2 linked regions of the Oryctolagus cuniculus genome follow. The protein of the gene in region 2 interacts with the protein of the main gene of each other region in a pairwise test. Links are inferred from orthologs where the notes say so. Each region holds a gene or a part of one and is shown on either strand. Other genes may lie near its edges.

Region 1 (10,798 bases), on a different chromosome or scaffold from region 2:
ACTCAAGGAGACTTGGAATGATTGGACCTTGACAACATCAGACAAGGTAAGACCTGCCCTAGCAGGCAGACGGGGTACCTGCTCACTCTCTAAGAAATCCACTTCATCTTCTAGGGGCTGGTCCCTGGGGGTCAGGACTCTGAGTAGTTGGATCTTGACTTTGCCAATATGCGAGTTAATAAAACAGGTAATGGCATTGAGTATGCAGGGGCCAACCACAGATATCATGAACAGGAGAAGCAGGGGTCCCGACACAACCCATCAGAGGCCTTAACAACCCAGGATACCAGATGTAGGAAGGAGGGTCTCACATACGTGCACAGAGAAACACACATGCCATAGCATGACATAACACATACAACATAATGCCTTTTTTTTTCACAAGCAGAGTTAGACAGTGAGAGAGAGAGACAGAGAGAAAGGTCTTCCTTTTTTCAGTTGGTTCACCCCACGAATGGCCGCTATGGCCGGTGTGCTGTGCCGATCTGAAGCCAGGAACCAGGTGCTTCCTCCTGGTCTCCCATGCGGGTGCAGGGCCCAAGCACTTGGGCCATCCTCCACTGCCTTCTCGGGGCCACAGCAGAGAGCTGGACTGGAAGAGGAGCAACCAGGACAGAATCTGGCGCCCCAACTGGGACTAGAACCCCGGGTGTTGGCACCGCAGGCAGAGGATTAGCCTAGTGAGCCGCAGCGTCAGCCAAAATGCCTTTTTTTTTTTTTAATTTATTTATTTGAATGGCAGAGCTAGATAGAGAGAGCACGAGATGTCTTCTACCCATTGGCTCACTTCCCAAATGGCAACAATGGCAGAAGTTGGCCCAATCTGAAGCCAGGAGCCAGGAGTTTCTACTGGGTCTCCCATTTGGGTGCAACTCTTTGGGCCATCTTCCACTGCTTTCCTGGGCCATAGCAGAGAGCTGGATTGGAAGAGGAGCAGCTGGGACTCCAACCTGTACCCATATGGGATGCCAGCACTGCAGCCAGCAGCTTTATCTACTGCATCATAGTGCTGGCCCTCCAAGTGCCTTCTTATGACAGCATAAAGAATGACATAAAATGGTATCTCATAACATCATGAAAAGGAAAGAAGATAAAATGCCATCCCAGGGTGTTATAAACAATGACATAAAATAAAACATCAGGGCCGGCACTGTGGTGCAATGGGTTAATGCCCCGGCCTGAAGTGCCGGCATCCCATATGGGCGCTGGTTCGAGACCCGGCTGCTCCACTTCCTGTCCAGCTCTCTGCTATGGCCCGGGATAGCAGTAGAAGATGGCCCAAGTCCTTGGGCCCCTGCACCCACGTGGGAGACTGGGAAGAAGCCCCTGGCTCCTGGCTTCGGATTGGCGTAGGTCCGGTTGTTGCGGCCAATTGGGGAGTGAACCATCAGATGGAAGACCTTTCTCTTTCTCTGCCTCTCCTCTCTCTGTGTAACTCTTTCAAATAAATAAATCTTAAAAAATAAAATAAAATAGAATAAAATATCATCATGTGACATCATAAACAATGACCTAAATGCCATTCCATGTTATAAAGAATGACATGTTATCCTATACTATAATAAAATGACATAAGCCAAAATATCTTCCTATGACATAATAAAAATAACATGAAATACAATGCCATAGTGTAACATAATAAAAATTAAAACCATCCCATGGCATAAAAATAAAATAAAAAATGTCATCCCACGACATCATAAGCAATGACATAAAATGCCATCCCATGTCATAAACAATATGATTAAAAATGCCATCCCATGACATCATAAAAATAACATAAAATACAACAAAAATGAAACGCAATGAAATAGAATAACCACATAACTTAATAAAAGTGAAATAAAATAAAGTAAAAGGAAATCATATAGCATAGCATAATATAACATGAAATGAAATAATGAAATAAAAAAGGAAATAAAATAATATACCAGAACATAGTATGATAGAAAATAAAACAAAATACCATTCCACAACATAATAAAAAATAAAATACAATAAAATAACATAGCATAACATAGTATAAAATAAAAAATAACATGAAAGAAAATGCCATGGCATAAGATCATAAAAACTAAAATAGCATCCCATCCCATAATAAAAAATAAAATAGCATGTAATATCAGACCATAACATCATAAAAAATAAAATACCATATTATAAAAACTAAAATACCATTCTATCCCGACATATAAAATATCATCCATGTCATAAGAATGACATAAAATGCCATCCCATGATTTAATCCAAATGAAATAAAATACCATGAAGTCATAAACAATGACATAAAATAAACTGACATCCCATGATGTCACAGCACCCAACCCTCTGGGCAGTACTGGCTGTGGCCGGCCCTCCTGGGAGCAGTGGGCGGAGCTTCCCCACCTGGCCCCACCTCTTGCACTCACCCAGGTGAGGAGGCCTCTCCAGGGAGGGTGCCATGGGAATGTCCTTGCAGGGGGGCCCCCTGCACTCCCCTAGAAGTCCAAGCAAGTGAACCTGTGATTGAGAGCTTCTCAGCCATGTGTCAATCACTTCTGACAGGCACCTGTCACTTTATTTTTATTTACATTATTCTTTTTAAATTTTTTATTTGACAGGCAGAGTTAGACAGTGAAAGACAGAGAGAAAGGTCTTCCATTGGTTCACTCCCCAAATGGCCACCACAGCCGGCGTGCTGCGCCGATCCAAAGCCAGGAGCCAGGTGCTTCCTCCTGGTCTCCCATGCGGGTGCGGGGGCCCAAGCACTTGGGCCATCTCCACTGCCTTCCCAGGCCACAACAGAGAGTTGGACTGGTAAAGGAGCAACCAGGACTAGAACCCAGCACCCATATGGGATGCTGGCGCCGCAGGTGGAGGATTAACCAAGTGAGCCACGGCGCCAGCACATATTCTAATTATCTTAATTTATTTTTTATCTTATTTCATTTCTTTTTTATCTTAAATTTATTTTATTCCATTTATATTGTATTTACTTCATTTAATTTTATTTAATTATATCTCATTTAATCTGATTTCATTTCATTCTATCTCATTTATTTCCTTTTATACCATTTTATAATTTTCTTATTTTATTTCATTTATTCAACTTTATTATGTTATATACCATTTTATTCATTTATTGCATTATTTATAACTTATTGTATTTATTTTATTCTATTTTTATCTCATTGTATTTCATTTATATAATTTTATTTATACATAAATATTTAAAGATTTATTTGTTTGAGAGGTAGAATCAGAGAGAGAGAGAGAAGTCTTCTATCCACTGGTTCACTCCCTAAATGACAGCAATGGGCCAGAGCTGAGCTGATCTGAAGCCAGCAGCCAGGAGATTCTTCTGGGTCTCCCTCGTAGGTGCAGGGGCCCAAGGACTTGGGCCATCTTCCACTGCTTTCCCAGGTCATAGCAGAGAGTTGGACTGGAAGAGGAGCAGCCAGCCTGGAACAGGCGCCCATATGGGATGCTGGCACTGCAGGTTGGGGCTTTAACCTGCTGCGCCACAGCACCTGCCCCCATTTATGTTGTTTTAACTCATTTTATTTTATTTTACTGAATTTCATTTAATTAATTTACCTCAATACATTTATTTTGTTTTATTCCATTTCTTTTTACTTCATTTTATTGCATTTACTTCATTTCATTTAATTTCATGTATTCCCTTTCATCGTATTTATTTATTTCACTTCATTTTAATTTATTGCATGGATTTGTTTACCCAGAGCCACTGGATACACACTGAATTTTTCTGGAAGCTTTGTGTTTTGATTGGCAAGTGTTGAGCCCTGGGGAGCAGACTGGGTCCCTCCTCAAAAATCAGCTGTAGACAAAAAATTATTCAAGAAAATAATTTTTTCTCTAAAAAATTAAAGTATATATAAATACTGTATGCAAAATTCAAACCATATGCAAATCCTAATTCAAAACACATTAATATCAAACTATATGCAAATCATGCAGGTAAAAACCCAAACTATATGTGAATAACGTATGCAAAAAAGTATATGCAAATCCTATATGAAAAACCAACTACATGCAAATATTATGTCCAAAAAATCACATACTACCTTTGAAAAAAGTATCAAAAATTCAAATTAGATGCAAATACTTAATCAACGATACACCTAACAATCAAATCATATAAAAAATCAAATTATATACAAATCATGTATGGAAAAAATAGAACATGCAAATTCTGTATACAAAAAGTCAAAATATATGCAAATATGTCCCCAGATGCATACAATTAACTATATATAAAATTTGTATTCAAAAATGCATGCAAAATTCAAATCATATGGAAATATTGCCTGCAAAAAATGCATCCAAAAATTAAATTATATAAAAACATCAAATTATATGCAAATACTGTGTCCAAAAAATGCATCAACACATCAAACTGTAAGCAAACAGTGAATCCAAAAAATGCATTCAAAAATAAGTTTATACGCAAATGACTGCACAACATGCCTGAAATAAACTACGTGCAAATCCAGCTGCTCTCCTTTGCCTTCTGGGACACCTGCAGCCGGCAGCGGAAATCCACGAGGGTACCTGCCTTCCTTCTCTCCCTCCTCTTCCCCGTTTCTCATCCCAGAAAGCCGCAGCAAAAATCCCTGATTGACAAGGATTCGTGTGGCAGTTTTCAAGAGTATTTTTTTTTTTTAATTTTTTTTCAAAAAGTCCCAGGGAGGAGCAGAGCTTAATCCGGAAGCGCGTGGGCGGATTCGCCGCGCTGTCAATCACTAGGCGGCGCGAACTCGGCACCCGCCCGCTTCGCCCACGCTGCAGGGGCGCGCTCTGGGACTCTGCCCGCCAGCTCCAAGCTTTAACAGACTCCCCGGGCTCGGATCTAGGGGTCTCCGCCGGCGGCCCTGACTTCCAATGCCGGGCCCAAGGTTTCATCGTCACTCACTGCTGGGCCAGGTCTTTAGTGGACCCCAATTCATTTTAAAATCCAAGTAGTTTGAAATCCTACTACACATAAGCCGCCTTACTGGCGCAGTCCCGGGGACACACACTGCGCATGCAACTAACCATAGTCTTTCAAATCCTGCGCGCTAGCCTAGCTGCACATCGCGCATGCTCACTCCTATGCCCGCTCTCGCCCAGGTGTTCCCCTTCTCAGCGGATCGCATCGCGCATGCGCCAACGAGCAGCCCGGTTTCCCTTCGGAGCCTTGCTTCAGCAGCACGTTCTGCGCACGCGCAACCCCACAACAGCGTCCTTCCTGGACGTACTGTGCACGCTCCTGCGGCACCCCCTCAGAACACCTCAGGTATCCCAAAAAGCCATGAGAGCTGGGATGCCGGTCGCTTCCTAAGCCTCCGGGACATTCCCGTTAGCTTCAAGTAATGGCAAATGGGGCTAAGAAGTGAGACACAGGAAGGGAAAAAAAAAGCGTCGCGGCCCTGTGACGTCAGGCAAGTGGAAGCCGTGACGCGCGTCGCCGCTGGTTCGGGGCAGCCGCGAGTTCGGAGCGCGCGGTCCTTGGTTTTGTGAGGGAAGAACGGCGGCGGCCGTCATGTCGCCGGGTAAGACGCTCCAGCCCGTGCTGAAAATGAAGGTGGACGAGCTCTTCCTGCGGTGGCTGAGCGAGGACGCAACGCAGCGGCTGCTCCACGAGTGCCTGCGCGCAGTCCAGGCCCCTCAAGGCGCTCCCAACGTGGCCGTCTCCGCGGATGCCGCGATGCCTGCGCCCGCCCCGGGAGGACCCGGACCCCCTGCCGCTCCTGCCGCCCCTGGACCCCGGCCCGAACCTCACAGCCGCAGAACCCGCAGACCCGCTGTTCGCAGAGGCGGGCGCGGCTGCGCGGAGGTAAGGCCTAAGAGGAGGGTGTGCCCTGATCAGGTGGGCGTGGCCTTTGAGGGGCGTGAGCGGGCTCTGTGGGAGAGTGAGCCTGGCCTTCACGGATGAGCGTGGCCTGTTTATGTTGGGTGGACTGGCGTGGCCTCTCTGAGAAGTAACCCCGAGAACCAATACTGCTTTGGAGGCTGCAGGACCATTTTGGGCGTTGGCCACATTGGGTGGTAGAGAGGAGGGGGTGGCAGGAGCCTAAGTCGGGGGTGGGGGCGGACAGGGGCTTCATCCGTGGAGCGAATTCCCGTGCGCGTGGCGTGTTGTGTTGGGTGTGGCCCGTGGCTGTGGGCTGGTGAGGGGCTTGGAGGAAGAGAGGTTCCCTGAGTTCACCGGGGCCAGACCCCAGTGTTTTCCTTCGGGTGTGTGGGGGGGCGGTTCTACAGCAAGGGGCACTGTTTAACAGTTGCTTCGCCCCTGCGCCAGAACCTTAACCCCTAAAAGAGGAGGTTCTATCCCAAGTTGTGGGTCCCTGGAGATTTTTTAATTCCTTAAAAGAGCCATCCTTGCTAAGAAGTGATTTTTTTTTTGTTTTTGAAAGCTGGAGTGCCTGGTGATGGACAGATGTCACTCATATCAGGGTTGGCTGTGGGGACTCATGAGAAGGAAGCAGAGATGCTGAGTTGTCACTCATGGAGCAGGGAATCATGGGAAGGGATGCTGAGCTGTCACTCATGGAGCAGGGAATCATGGGAAGGGAATGGAGGCGCTGACCTGTCACTGATCATAGGCTCATGGAAAGCAGCAGACACTGAGCTGTCATGGAGCAGGGGTTTACCTGCTACTTCCAGCCCCGCCTCTGCCCCTCCCCTAGATGGGTTTCTGGGGTCTCTGGCCAAACGCAGGTATCCTAGGCCCAGCCATGGATAGCCAGGGTGTTGGGGTCAGCTGCTCTGTGCAGCCTGTGGGCTGAGGGCTAGGCTAGGCTGTCCCTTTGGCTGTTGATCGCAGGCTGATCTGGGCTGTCAATTAACCTTCTTGGGTTTGGAGTTTATCCCAAAGGCTGTGGGTGGGTCTTTCCTATCCCTGCTGTCTGTCAGCCTAAGTGGTATGAGGATGATGAGGACTATGTGTCTGAGGAAGATGAAGAGGGGGCCGTGACCACTGCTGGGTCTCTTCGCAGGGCCCACTGATTGTGGTTCTTGGAAGTGGGTTCTGGCCCTGGCCCTGTTGCAGGGATTATGGACAGCTGTCAATCATTGCCTGTCTGATATGGAGTGGCAGGTTCCCAGGTGGATGCTGTGGGGCCAGCAATGGGCTCCTGGCAAGAGGGGGTGGGGCAGCTGTCCATCAAATCTACTTTCTGTGGAGGTAGGGCCCCATCCACCGATAGCCCTGGACGCTCAGGGACAGCCAAAGGCAGGGTCAGCACAGCACGGGGTGGCTCTGCATTCCAGTTCTCACTGCCCAGGCTCAGCAGGGGAGGGGCTTGATGTGGGACTAGGGTCTCTGGCCCTGCTATGAGATTGAGAGTTCCCAGGCTGGAGTGACTGGTCTCAGGTGGATTGGCGGGTCCCAGTTTGGCCCCAACAGCTCTTGGCTAGAGTGACAGGTCCTGGGCAGGAATGACAGTTCTAGGGATGGAGTGGCAGTCCGTGGGCAGTCGTGGGCAGTGATGGTCAGTGCTCAGCAGCTCAACAGGGGTGGCTGGGGCAGGTCGCTGGCCACTAATGCCCCCTTCATCCATCCCCCACAGGTGCAGACGTGGCCGGAGCTGCAGGGAACTCCAGGACTCTCGGTGGGTGGGATCCCCACCTTCTACTTCCCGCGCGGCCGCCCAGTGGGTCCTGTCAGCAAGGATGGGGCCATACGTGCCGTGGAGACTGCGTTTGCCCTGCTCCCACTGCAGCGCGCCCGCCTGGAGGACATGGGCAATGTGGCCAAGGTTGGTGCCAGGGATGGGGCGGGGGCTGGGCTTGTGGTGCTGGAGATTGGGCTGGAGGCCAAGGGCGGGGCCTGCGAGACCTGGATGTGACCAAGGTGGGTGCTGGCCTGGGGATGGGACAGCCTGTGCCCTCCCTGTGGCTGGGTCGCTTTTGTCACTGCTGACCAGAGTGGCATTGCCTGTGCCCTCTCTGTTGCCGGGCCCTTCCTTCACATCTCTGCTGTCTGACAGCATGAGTGACACAGCCTCTGCCCTCCCTGTGTCTGGATCCTTCTTCTCCCTGGTATCTGGTTCCTTCCTTTCGCTGTTGTCTGTCGCTGTGAGTGGCACAGTCTGATCATTCCCTGTGACCAGGCCCTTCCAGTCGTTGCTGTCTGTCACCCTCATTGGCAATCTCAGTAACTGCCTGGTGGTGTTCCAGGCCTGTGGCTGCCCTTTGTACTGGAAGGGACCCTTATTCTACCGGGCTGGGGGCCGCCGCGGGGGATCCGTGTCTGTGCATACCTTCGTGGCCATGTGGCGCAGGTGAGTCCCAGGCATGCAGGGTAAGCAGGACAGGGGGCGGGCCTTGGGGATCCTACACCTGCTGGGCAGGAGAGTGTAAGGGGGGTGGGGCAGGGCAGGGCTTCCTCCAGGGGGAGTCCTGGGCAGGCCCTGCCTCCCCAGCTGCAGTAGCCAGAGGAGACCCTGGCTCTGCCTCCCACATGTGATTGGCAGAGGGGACCCAGGCCCCACTCCCACCTCCTGGGGACGGGGCTCCGAACGATGCTGATGCTTCCAGAATCCTCCAGGACTGCCACGATGAGGAGGCCAGGTTCCTGCACCTGCTCGCTAGTCCTGGGTGCGACTTCTTGGAACAGGAGGATTTCGTCCCCTTCTTGCAGGTGAGCACCCTGCCCCTCCCCCAGTGGGAGGTACACACGTCACACCTATCAATCACAAACCTCATACCTTTCAGTCACAGCTGTCAGTCACAGGTTATACCGCATACTTGTCAATCAAGTCACACCTGTCAGAGGGGAGTTCGCACCTCACACCTGTCACAGGGATGTCTTCACCTCACACGTGTCACACACCTCACACCTGTCACTCACTTCCTGTGTCCCAGGATGTGGTAGAATCACACCCTGGCCTCGCCTTCCTCAAGGAGGCACCTGAGTTCCACTCCTGCTACATCACCACTGTGAGTACCCCTGACCCCAAACCCAGTGTGATACCCAAACCCTGCCTGTAACCCCTGACCTTGCAGTGACCCCTGACCCTGCCTGGGTCCCCGTCCTGGGCAGTAAGAGGAATACACCTGGGTATAAGTTCGACTGTGCTGGTCAGAGTCACCCTGTGAGTGGCAGCTCCTTGTGAGTGGCGGCTCCTCCCGCCCTCTGTGAGTGGCAGCTCCTCCCTCCCTCCCCTGTGACAGCTCCTCCCTCCCCTGTGGCTCCGCCCCTTATGGGGGCAGGTCTCTCGGGCCATCTGCTCACTGCTGCCCTGGACTCAGGTGAGAGGATGCCCTCAGGTGAGGACAGATGAGAGGACACTCAGGTGAGCACAGGTGAGGATGTCTGCCAGCCACTGCCAACACGCCACTGCTGGTCCCGCCCCCTGCTAGCCCCAGCCCCACCCCATCTGCCCCGCAGGTCATCCAGCGGATCTTCTACGCTGTCAACAGGTCCTGGTCCGGGCGCATCAGCTACAATGAACTCAGGAGGAGCCACTTCCTGCAGGTGGGGGAAGTGGGAACCACCTACCATGATGGGAGACCCCGCCTCCTGGGAAAGGAGTCCCTGCTCCCAGGACAGGAGACCCTACCCCCAAAGAAGATTCCACCCTTAGGACAGGAGACCCTAGTTCCCCACCCAGCAGGAAAACCCACCCTCCACAACCTGAGGTCCTGAGCCCCACCTCGTTCCCATCCTGAAGCCCCGCTCCCCGCAGGTTGTGGCGCGGCTGGAGGAGGAGGCGGACCTGAGCCTGACAAGCGGGCTCTTCTGCTATGAGCACGTCTATGTCATCTACTGTACCTTCCGTGAGCTTGACACTGACTGCGACCTCCTGCTGGGCAACTGTGACCTGGCCCGGCACCGCGACCACGGTCGGGGACCCCAGGGACCCCAAGACCCCTTCCCAGGGACCCCCCCCATGCCGACCCCAGCCTCCTGCCCTGCCCTCTGCATGGCTCACAGGCCCTGCCTCTTCTTCCACAGCCATCTCCGACAAGATGATTGACAGGATATTTTCAGGTGCTGTCATGCGGTAGGTGGGGTCCCCGGCGGGGGAGTAGAGGTGATGCCATCGTGTTGAGGGATGACATGGGTGATGACATCACAGATGATGGCATCACAGGTATTCATCACACCAGATTGGGGCAGTGTGGACAGCACTGGAGGGGGACTCAGGGCCAGCACAGGACTCCTTGGGTTCCCCATGTGGGGCTGGACAGGGATACCCCCAGCTGGGAGTGGCCCATGCTGAACCTGCCTGTGTGTCTGCTGGCTACTGCTGACCACAGGGACAGGACGGCACAGAGAGCAGGGAAGATGAGCTACGAGGACTTTGTGTGGTTCCTGCTCTCCGAGGAGGACAAGACCACGCCCACCAGGTGGGTCTGAGGGCCCCCCTTGCAGGCGGATAGTGGATGACGCTGGACACCATGGGCTCACTCCTCGGCCCAGGGTGTGGTCTGGGTCAGGAAAGTGGTCAGCTTGGGTTCTGTGAAGTCAGCAGTGTCCATGGTGTGGCCAGTGGTAACTTTGGGGTTAGTATGGTCAGCAGTGCCCACTTGGTCAGCTCAGGGGATCAGTGAGCAGAATCTTTTGGGTGATCAGTGGTCACATTGCTGTCAGTGTGGTCAGCAGCATGGTCAGGGATCACTCCACGGTTAGTGTGGTCAGCGGCTGACTGCCATCTCCCTTGACAAGGCAGCATTGAGTACTAGTTCTGAATGGACCTGGGTGGGGACTGTGTCCCTAGTGTGGTCAGTGGTCACTCTGGGGTCAACATAGTTTATTCCCCTACTGACTGCCACCTACCCAACTGGGCAGCATCGAGTACTGGTTCCG
Region 2 (10,119 bases):
GGGTCTTACATTCACTGATTCACTCCCCAAATGGCCACAATGGCCAGGTCTGGGCCAGGCCAAAGCCAGGAGCCAAGAGCTTCATCTGGGTCTCCCATGTGGTTGCAAGAGGCCAAGACCCTGGGCCATCTTCTGCTGCTTTCCCAGGCGCATTATTAGGGAGTTGGATCAGAAGTAGAGCAGCCAGGATGTCAGCCCTGCAGGTGGCAGCTTTACCCACCATGCAACAGGGCCAGTCCCTATTCTAGATACTAAGAAGTTCATTATTTACACCTTATTTTACATTGAAAAATTATTCCCATTTTAGTTTTTACAATACAGACACATATTTCTCTTTATTAGCTAATTCTGATTTCATGTATATGTTCAAAATACCAAATTAGGTCCAATTTGCCCTATTAATAGTGAGTACAATTCTAGTTTCCAGAAATCAGGTTACAAAGTTGATCTAGATTTATTACTTTTTCCAATACTCAAATGTATTAGACTAAAAGAGTAACTGACATGTAATTCCACATTAATCTTGATTATTAAGACACATCTAACATTAAAGTATTTCTTTATGTAGATTGCTTTAAGAGGTATCTCAAACACACTTTTCTAAAAATGTAGATAAAATGTTTATTGGAGTGGGCACGGTGGCACAGTAGGTTAAGCTACCCATCCTGTATCAATGCCTGGATGAGTCCTGGCTATGCTTCTACTTCCAGCTTCCTGCTCATGCACAGCACGTGCTGGTTCAAGTCCTTGGGTCCCTGCTACCCATGCTGGAGACCCAGATGGAGTTTCAGGCACCTTGCTTCATCCTGGCCCAGCCTCAGCTGCTATAGGCATTTGAAGCATGAACCAGCAGATGGAAGATCTCTATCTTTCACTGTTTTACTCTGCCTTTCAAATAAATAAACTTAAGAAAAAAAAAAAAAAAACCTGCAGATAATTGGAATTTCTGAACAAGAAAAACATATTCTGTTTTACTAATAGCCTTTCTTTTACATTTACAAGAAAAATCTAGACATAAATAGGCTTACTAATTTCCCTTAAAAGAGAGAAAGCAAAATTTCAAAATACGAGGGTACTTCAAAAAACTCATGGAAAACTGGAATTAAGTTTCAGGGCAGCATTTGGCATAGTGGTTAAGATGCCATAGGAGACCTCCCCCATCCCGTATCAGAGCGCCTCAGTTTGAGTTCTAGCTCCACTTCCTATTCCATCTTCCTGCAAATGTAGGCTAAAGCAGCAGGTGACGATTCTGCCACTAATATGGGAGACATGGATTGAGTTTCTGGCTCTTGGATTAGGCTTGGCCCAGTTCCAGAAACTGCAAGCATCTGGAGAATAAACCAACAGATGGGAGATCTTTGTCTCTGTCTGCCTTTCAAATTAAATAAATAAATCATGACTTTTAAAAACATGAAACAAATGAAGTGTTAGTATCATAAAAGATTTTACTATCATATAAAATTTATATGACTAAAAAACTTTGATTGCTATGTATTCTACTTACATCACGTAATAACCTAATAACAGGGCAGTTTCTAGGTTACTTCATGGGATTTTTCCCTTTCACACTGCAATTGAAATGTTGATGGCCTACAAACTAGACAACCTGCAGTGAGTAACTGAAAGCCGGGGCAGCATGTATCTTCAGCAAGGTTCCTTCCAAGATAGCAGATGTCACAAGTTCATATTTTTCTTGTTTGTGATCCCAAAACTGGCAGCATTTTCTTTTCATCCACTCTGTTCTTATGTATTTGGAAAGCAGGTGTTATCCATCTTCCACATGAGCACTGTTCACCATACCAATTGAAGGAACCCAATTTGGCACTGCATTTTGGACAAAGCAGCTGAAATAAAAAGCCAATGTATTACTTCATTTATTCACTTTTATACAAAACAAATAATTTTCTTTGGCAATATAGGATATAAGCACAGGCAAACATGGCCCCTATCTTCAAGGAGTTTGTACTCTAATTGGTGACATTAAATACATGAGGAATTTGCTGTATTATAGATGGTGGACTACAATTACTGCCTAAGAAGTATGTTGTACTCGGGCAGCTTAGAGGAAGAACAGATGGATCCCAGCTTTAGGGGAGAAAGGTGACATTTGAAACTCAAGGATGGCTTCAAGAATGTGGCATACATACTAGGTTTTTAAATCAACGTGTAGGGGCAGGCACCTGACACAGTGGTTAAGACATCACTTAGAACAGCCACATCTCATCAGAGTGCCTGTTTTGAGTGCCACCTCTGCTTCCAATTCCAGCTTCCTGTTATGGGTACCCTAGAAGGCAGGTGATGGCTCAAGTAATTGGGTCCCTGCCACTCATGTGGGAGATCCAAATTGGATTCTGGGGTCTTGGCCCAGCCCTAGCTGTTGCAGGTATTTGGGGAGTAGACAAATGGATGAAAGATCTCTCTCTTTTGGTTCTAGTTCCAGCTGCTCCTCTTCCAATCCAGCTTTCTGCTATGGTCTGGGAAAGCAATAGAAGATGGCCCAAGTACTCAGGCCCCTGCACCTGCATGGGAGATCTGGAAGAAGCTCCTGGCTTTTGATCAGCCCAGCTCCGATTGCTGTGGCTATTTGGGGAATGAACCAGCAGATGGAAGACCTTTCTCTCTATCTCTCCCTCTCCGTCAGTAACTCTACATCTCAAATAAATAAATAAAATCTCAAAAAAAAAAAAACTACAACATGAATAAAGAATGGAAAAGATTATTAGGATTCTCATGTTTTATTACTGATAATGATAGCATGTAAGTCAGATTCCTAGTGACTTAAAAACAATCAACTGATATTCCAGTAAAACAGATAAATCAAAGCTTTAGTAAACTGTATTTTCTTTCAGTGCAGTTATCACATTTTTTAGGTTTAGTTCTATAATTTGTACATGGTAGGAAGTAGGAATTTTTGCTTTTAATATTAAACTACAGGAAGTCCAGATTTAAAGCCCAGAAACCACAAATGAAAAAATAGACTACACAGTATCTTAAATTTTATTACAAAATATACCAAAAATTTGAGATAAGTAATAGACTAGGGAAAATAATTCTATTTATTAAATGAAGCATCTACATCTAGAATATATACACAGCTCCTACAAATCAGTAAGAGTAAGAAAATTCATAGAAAATAGGCCAGGGATGGTAAAGCAGTTTACACAACAAGAAACTATAGATGGGGCGGGGGGGGATCGGCGCTGTGGCTGAGCGGGTTAACGCCCTGGCCTGGAGCCCCGGCATCCCATATGGGCATCAATTCTAGTCCCAGCTATTCCTCTTCTGATGCAGCTCTGTGGCCTGGGAAAGCAGTGGAAGATGGCCCAAGTCCTTGGGCCCCTGTGCCCGAGTGGGAGACCAGGAAGAAGCTCCTGGCTCCTGGCTTCGGATAGGTGCAGTTCCGGCCATTGCGGCCATCTGGGGAGTGAACCATCAGATAGAAGACCACTCTTTCTCTCTCTCTCACTCTCTCTGCCTCTCCTCTCTCTGTGTAACTCTGACTTTCGAATAAATAAATAAATAAAAAGCAACTATAGATGGCTGGTAAATGCAAAGATGTCATCCTCGGCTGTAGTCATGAAAAACGTAAGATTAATATTTTCATGATACAGACTGACAAAACTTCACCAGTTTTATATATAACTTGCCCAGGGTATGAGGAAATGGGTAGATATTCACTGTTGGTGAAAACTAAATTTGTATGAGCATTTTGAATGTCAGCCTGGAATATGATTAATATTTAAAATGTATACAGTCATAAAGCCAACAATTTACTTCTAAGTGTATACCATATAAGAAAACTCAAATATGTATACAAAGAAATACGCACAAATAGGGTTTAGAATCTTTCACAAAAATATCATGTGTTTGTATATTTTCCAGGTTAAATGAAAGCAGCAAGCCAAAAGCATAAGTCACCAAAGAGCAATATTACAGTTCACCAAAATCTGAAACAATCACTGTAAATACGATCATCAAGAATGGGAAATGAACGCTAATGGATATATCATTTTAAGGGTCATGAGAATAGCGACAGTTGCAAAAAACTGTGAATATACTAAAAGCTGTTGAATTCATTATTCTAAATTGGTGAACTGTATGGTATGTGAGTTATACTTTAACAAAGCTGTTTTTTTAAAAAGTAACAAAATCTGAAAATGTGCATTTGAATATAGGATACTGTTTTTAAGTAAAATACTCAGTAAATAAATGAAGTTTCCCCACATATAAAGTATGACTGTATCTGTTCTACCACCTTTATAAAGCCATTTTATTCCAATGACATGGAATAAGAGTTTCAATAAATATCCATTATAAAAACTTTTCTACAAACTTTTAAAATCACTATTAAAATTATTTCTATAGAATGCCTGCATATTAATATCAAAAACTTAAACCTAAAGAAAAAAGTGGCTGTCACAGGATGTTATGAGTTGTATTCTTGGACAGGAAATGAAAAAGAATCTCGTAACAAACATACTAAATTGAAAGATCAGAAAAAGAGAGAAATGCATGGAATTAAGAAAGAAAAAGAAAGGGAAGACATTTTAAACCAAATTTAAAAATTCCTGAGGTAACCTACTTGTTACAAAGTTCAAATTTTATAAGATATTAATTTGTTTTAAAGTAATATTTGTTTTATATTTGAAAAATATAAATAGACTTAAAAGAAACTTATTAACTTAGAGTAGCAACTCTCAACTACCATTTAAAATCAGCTGATCTTTAAAAATATTTATTTTTGACAGTCTGATCCACACTAGAAAAATATAATCTTCATAAAAGAAAGGGATTAAGATGGAATAAAACACTAGTTAAAATACAAAAAGGAAGAAAATACAGATTGTACAATGAAATTGTAGAAAAAATAAGAAATGTATTCTGACCTGCCCATCCATCACTCCCAACAAAGCAGATTCCATCCACTGTACAGGTTCAATGAAATAAGATGTACACTGAGTCCCTGTGGCAAGCATGAATGATGGTGCCATTCTCTTGTGGGCAAAAGCTATAGGTCCACTTCCTTCACTGTGACCCAAAATACTTGAACTTCGAAATAAGGATCGCCTGCAATTCCCAAACAAACATATTAATCAAAAGGATTTTTTTTTTTTTTTTTTTTTTTTTTTTTTTTTTGACAGGCAGAGTGGACAGTGAGAGAGAGAGACAGAGAGAGAAAGGTCTTCCTTTGCCGTTGGTTCACCCTCCAATGGCCGCCGCTGCAGCCGGCGCACCGCGCTGATCCTGGCAGGAGCCAGGAGCCAGGTGCTTTTCCTGGTCTCCCATGGGGTGCAGGGCCCAAGCACCTGGGCCATCCTCCACTGCACTCCCTGGCCATAGCAGAGAGCTGGCCTGGAAGAGGGGCAACCGGGACAGAATCCGGCGCCCCAACCGGGACTAGAACCCGGTGTGCCGGCGCCGCAAGGTGGAGGATTAGCCTATTGAGCCACGGCGCCGGCTCAAAAGGATTTTTAAAATAGATAAAATGTACAGTATTTCTTCAAGGCCAAAATAACACAACATCGATTATACTTAAATTTTCAATAACCTCTACAATTTGGTGTTTTTAAAACTTAATTCTTAAAAACAAATTTGAACTAGAAATTTCTGTATTATTCAATTCAACAAATTCTTCCTACAGAGATATAAGAAAATGATATGCTACGTCCTTTTCAGCTACTGAGAACACAAAATATTTTACCTGCACTTTCTACACTTGTAGAGAACTTCATCTTTCAGTCCTTGTGAAACAGTGGTTGGGTCAACAGCAAAGAGTTCTTGAGGTAAACTCTGCAATTCTATGACACAATTAAAACGCATCCATTTGTTATTATCAGCTTGGTATTTTCAGATAAAATTCTGTTTGTGTTTACTGTGTTTGGGATATAGCTTGTGTTCCGTTAGGTGGGAAGTTAGACATTAGTCTATGTGCATTGAGGGGCTGAAGAACAAAAATGAGAATTTCATGTGGTTGAATGAGGGAAGGCAGAAGCATGCCTTCGAAGCAGACCAGCATTTGTGCAACAAAAGTCTTGCCCAGGTCCAACAGCCTTATTAGGTGGCTCCCAGCCCTCCCCCAAAGGGGCATCCTAGGGAACACTTCCCCACCCTATACCAGGGCTATTAGGTCCGGTAAAGGGTGCTAATGAAGTCCCTGGAGGAATTTCACAGATTCCCTCTGACCCCGCCCCAGTCTCCCTGCAGACTGGGCTCTCAGTTCTTTGCTGAGTTCCCCACCTGGACTGTCAATTGTATTCTCTTCATTAAACCTCACTAGCATGCTTACTGCTATTCTCTGTCTCATGTCTTTCTTGACCTCTGATCCAGCCATCCTGGGCCACTCCGCACAATGGTCCACATGCTGGAAGCTTGGCTCCCAGTGTGACAATGTTGAGAGGTGGTGGAACCTTTAAGAAGTAAGACCTAGTAGGAGGTTGTTAGGTCACTGTGGCCGCTGCTCTTGGAAAGGATTAATGTAATTATTGCAAGACCCTGGTTCACTCCCAAAGAACAAATTATTATAAAAGGAGCAGGCCTGAGCTCCTAGTCGATTGCTCTTCTGCTGATCTCACCTGTGATTGTTCCTTCTTTCTCGCATACACTCCCACCATGTGAATTCTGGGTCCTGATGGAGTCAGAAGGCCCTCACCAGAGCCAAGCAGAAGCTGGCACCATGCTCTTGGACCTTCAAAACTGTGAGCTAAATGAACTTCTTTTGTTTACAAAGTACCCAACCTCAGGTACTTTCTTATAGCAACAGAAAATGGACTGATACAATGTCAACTGAACAATCAAGTGCTAACCTCAGAAATCAAAACAAAAACAAATTATAGTGTCAGAAAATCAGGATGAAGTTACAAAGCACAGTGATTAAGCTCTTGGCTTGAGTTCAAACCCAACCCTGCCATTTACAAACCACCTGACCCTGGATAAGATTTCTGGCTAAACTGCAATTTCAAAAGAAAACAATTCCTATCTCATCTGATTGCTAGAAAAATGGGACAATGTATTTAGTGTTGTTGGGCAAGAAGTCAGATATTAGCCTAAGGATGAGAGAGAGACTGAAGAACAAAAATGTGAATTTCCTGTTGTTGAATGAGGGGAGAAATGTAGAAACATGCCTCAGAAGCAGACTAGCACGATAACCTTGTTAGGTGGGTTCCAGCCCTCCCAGGACGGTTACTACTTAGGAGAATCTTCTCCACTCTGCCCCAGGAAAATTTTAGATCCAATTACATGGTGCTGATAAAGTCCTAGGAGGATCGTCACAAATTCCATGCCCGGGAAGCCCTCCACCCACCAGTGTTCCAGAAGAGGAAGGAGGGAGAAGAAATGATCGCTCCGTACGCAGAACTCCCACCTAAGGCAGACGGCGCTCAGTCCTTCGCTGCAATGCCCACCTGGCCTGTCAGGTGTACTCCCATCACTAAACTTTGCTCCCTTGCTTACTACTACTCTCCGCAGCATGTCTGAAATTCTCTTCTTGCTAGAAGCAAGGGTCTCTGATCCACAGGTCTCTGGTAAGTGTCAGGGTAAAGGACATCAGGAAAGCACTCTGCATACACTGGCAATTAAGGTTACTTACCTGGATACTTCTCTGTAACCTTTTGTAAACGATATTGCTTATAAATCGCACTAGAGGTATCCACTTCATATCCCATTGCCTGGTATAATTTCAGTTGCCACTCAAACCCTTCGTTCATCCTGAAATGACAAAGAAATATAAAAGCCACAATTCTTTAAATAAAGCTACATCCCAAAAGCAGCAATATTACAATGAAGAACTCACTTAGCCTCTGGTTTGATGGTCTGGAGGTTCTCGTAGGCTTCTTCAAAGCTAAGCTTGTCAGTCTTCATCACAAAAGCTGTCACTATCGCCACACTTCGACTGACTCCTGCATGACTGAAAAAGAAGCCTTCAAAATAAAATAAGCAAATAGCAACAATTAAAAAAAAAAATCCAGCCCCTCTATTAATGGCAAAGTTCCAATCCACTTCATTTCTACTTCTATTCAAATAAACCCATTACATCTGAAATACTACCAATGTATGAACAAGTTATCATCATTTTTGAAAGGCAGAGAGAGAGCTTCTATCCTCCACCATTTGGGACAACCCATGGGTGCCAGGAACCCAATTTCTTGGTTCATCACTGCAGCCTCCCAGGGTCTGTGTTAGCAGGAAATTGGAGTTAACAGAAAGAAATCAAACCCAGATACTCCATGTGGGATGTTGGTGTTTCCGCTCCTATTTCCTTTTTCATTTTAAATTCTGAACTACGAGAATGTATCTCACCTATTCAAACTTAATCACTCTTTTTTTTTTTTTTTTTTTTTTATGTTGTGAAGCCTTTGTAACAAATGAAAATTCTTTTGCTCTTAGCATTAAGGGCCTGGAGCTCTGGTACCAAACAGGATCCAATTTAAAAAAAAAAAAAAGAATTTAAGCCGGCACCACAGCTCACTAGGCTAATCCTCCGCCTTGCGGCGCCGGCACACCGGGTTCTAGTCCCGGTCGGGGTGCCGGATTCTGTCCCGGTTGCCCCTCTTCCAGGCCAGCTCTCTGCTGTGGCCAGGGAGTGCAGTGGAGGATGGCCCAAGCACTTGGGCCCTGCACCCCATGGGAGACCAGGAGAAGCACCTGGCTCCTGCCATCAGATCAGCGCGGTGCACAGGCTGCAGCGCACTGGCCGCGGTGGCCATTGGAGGGTGAACCAACAGCAAAAGGAAGACCTTTCTCTCTGTCTCTCTCTCTCACTGTCTACTCTGCCTGTCAAAAAAATAAAAATTAAAAAAAAAAAAGAATTTGTTTATTTATTTATTTGAGACGTAGAATGAGAGAGAGAGAGAGAGAGAGAGAGAGAGAGAGAGAGAGAGAGAGAGAGGGGCACAGACACAATGTGGTCTTCCATCCACTGGTTCACTCCCCAAATGGCCGCAAAGGCTGGAGCTGGGCCAATCCGAAGCTAGGAGCCTCTTCTGGGTCTCCCATGGGGATGTAAGGGCCCAAGCATTTGGGCCACCTTCTACTGCTTTCCCAGGCCATAGCAGAAAGCTGGATTGGAGAGGAGCAGCCGGGATTTGAACCGGCGTCCACATGGGATGCCCACGCAGCAGGTAGAAGCCTAACCCACTATGCTACAACGCCGACCCCAGGACCCAGTTTTTTAACTACCTTCCTTTCTTTGTGTAAATATTGAGAACAAGTGGTTGACACACAATAGTTACTCAATAAATTTAAAACTACTGCAACCCAATCCAAACAGCGCTACCTAGGGATACCCAAATATCCATCAAGAATTTATCTTTTTGCTTTTGCTGCAACTTACCCACCCCAACTCTCCCCTAGGCAAGGCCCAGGGGATCCTTCAGATCCTAACCAATTCTCCCCTTCATGAGCACCCTGCCCCCACACACACCTCACACAAAAACAATTAGAAATGATCTGCCGTTCCTCTGAAGTCTGAATACTTAACCTGAGCACATACTCTATCCTAGGTTGTGTTACAATCATTGGGGTGGGTGTTTTGCCTCCTAAGGAGCTGTAAAAGCTTGAGGCTGTAGGGACTTTGTCATTCATCTGATGACTCCTCCCATCCAACCACCCCAAAACAATTCAGTTGCTACTGAATGAACCAAAGCATGAAAGAAGGAAAGCACGCGCGCCAGCAGTGGCCCGCCTCCTGCTCCTGCCCCTCCCTCCCCCTGGAACACACACCCCTGCGGGAGGGAGTGGGAGGGGGTCCCCTCCCCTAGGGGCCTCGGAGTGACAAGGAGCAGGCTGGGAGCAAAGTCAGGCTCCTCTCCACCCCCCTACCCGTCCACTCACCAGTGCACCAACACTGCACGGCCCTCAGAGCGGGCCTGGCCGATGAAGGCCACGCACCGATCCAGGTGGCTGAGCAAGTCAGTCTCGGGTTTATCTAGCGCCGGCACGAAGAGGCTCCGCAGACCCTCGACCCCAGCCCCCGCCTTGAACCCGGGCTCCTCCGAGTCCACCGTCAGGATGGCCGTGATCCCCGCCTCTCTGAGGTGGTCCGGCTCCGCCACGGCCGCGGCTCCACCCAGGTACAGCCCTGGCCGCACTTCCAACATGGGCACGGCGGAGGCGGTCGGGCTC

The links. The genes of interacting proteins can lie anywhere in the genome.
Region 1: the proteins of DUSP12 (region 2) and serine/threonine-protein phosphatase 2A regulatory subunit B'' subunit beta interact in binary tests that used the Homo sapiens proteins (3 or more experiments, as listed by UniProt). The two-hybrid records come from large-scale screens. The link is inferred for Oryctolagus cuniculus from reciprocal best matches to the Homo sapiens genes DUSP12 and PPP2R3B.

What each region holds. Positions count from the first base shown.
Region 1 is NC_091447.1:3,601,216-3,612,013, forward strand, and holds the start of serine/threonine-protein phosphatase 2A regulatory subunit B'' subunit beta, read left to right. Parts: upstream 1-5,524; coding exon 5,525-5,818; exon of another isoform or gene 5,819-7,553; coding exon 7,554-7,742; intron 7,743-8,163; coding exon 8,164-8,267; exon of another isoform or gene 8,268-8,523; coding exon 8,524-8,626; exon of another isoform or gene 8,627-8,850; coding exon 8,851-8,925; exon of another isoform or gene 8,926-9,159; coding exon 9,160-9,281; exon of another isoform or gene 9,282-9,376; coding exon of another isoform or gene 9,377-9,408; coding exon 9,409-9,463; exon of another isoform or gene 9,464-9,674; coding exon 9,675-9,831; exon of another isoform or gene 9,832-9,943; coding exon 9,944-9,992; exon of another isoform or gene 9,993-10,248; coding exon 10,249-10,338; exon of another isoform or gene 10,339-10,780; coding exon 10,781-10,798. UniProt on the Homo sapiens protein: The B regulatory subunit might modulate substrate selectivity and catalytic activity, and might also direct the localization of the catalytic enzyme to a particular subcellular compartment.
Region 2 is NC_091438.1:37,037,588-37,047,706, forward strand, and holds part of DUSP12 (dual specificity protein phosphatase 12), read right to left. Parts: coding exon 9,829-10,119; intron 7,904-9,828; coding exon 7,790-7,903; intron 7,705-7,789; coding exon 7,586-7,704; intron 5,799-7,585; coding exon 5,702-5,798; intron 5,068-5,701; coding exon 4,887-5,067; intron 1,845-4,886; coding exon 1,683-1,844; 3' UTR 1-1,682. UniProt on the Homo sapiens protein: Dual specificity phosphatase; can dephosphorylate both phosphotyrosine and phosphoserine or phosphothreonine residues. Can dephosphorylate glucokinase (in vitro).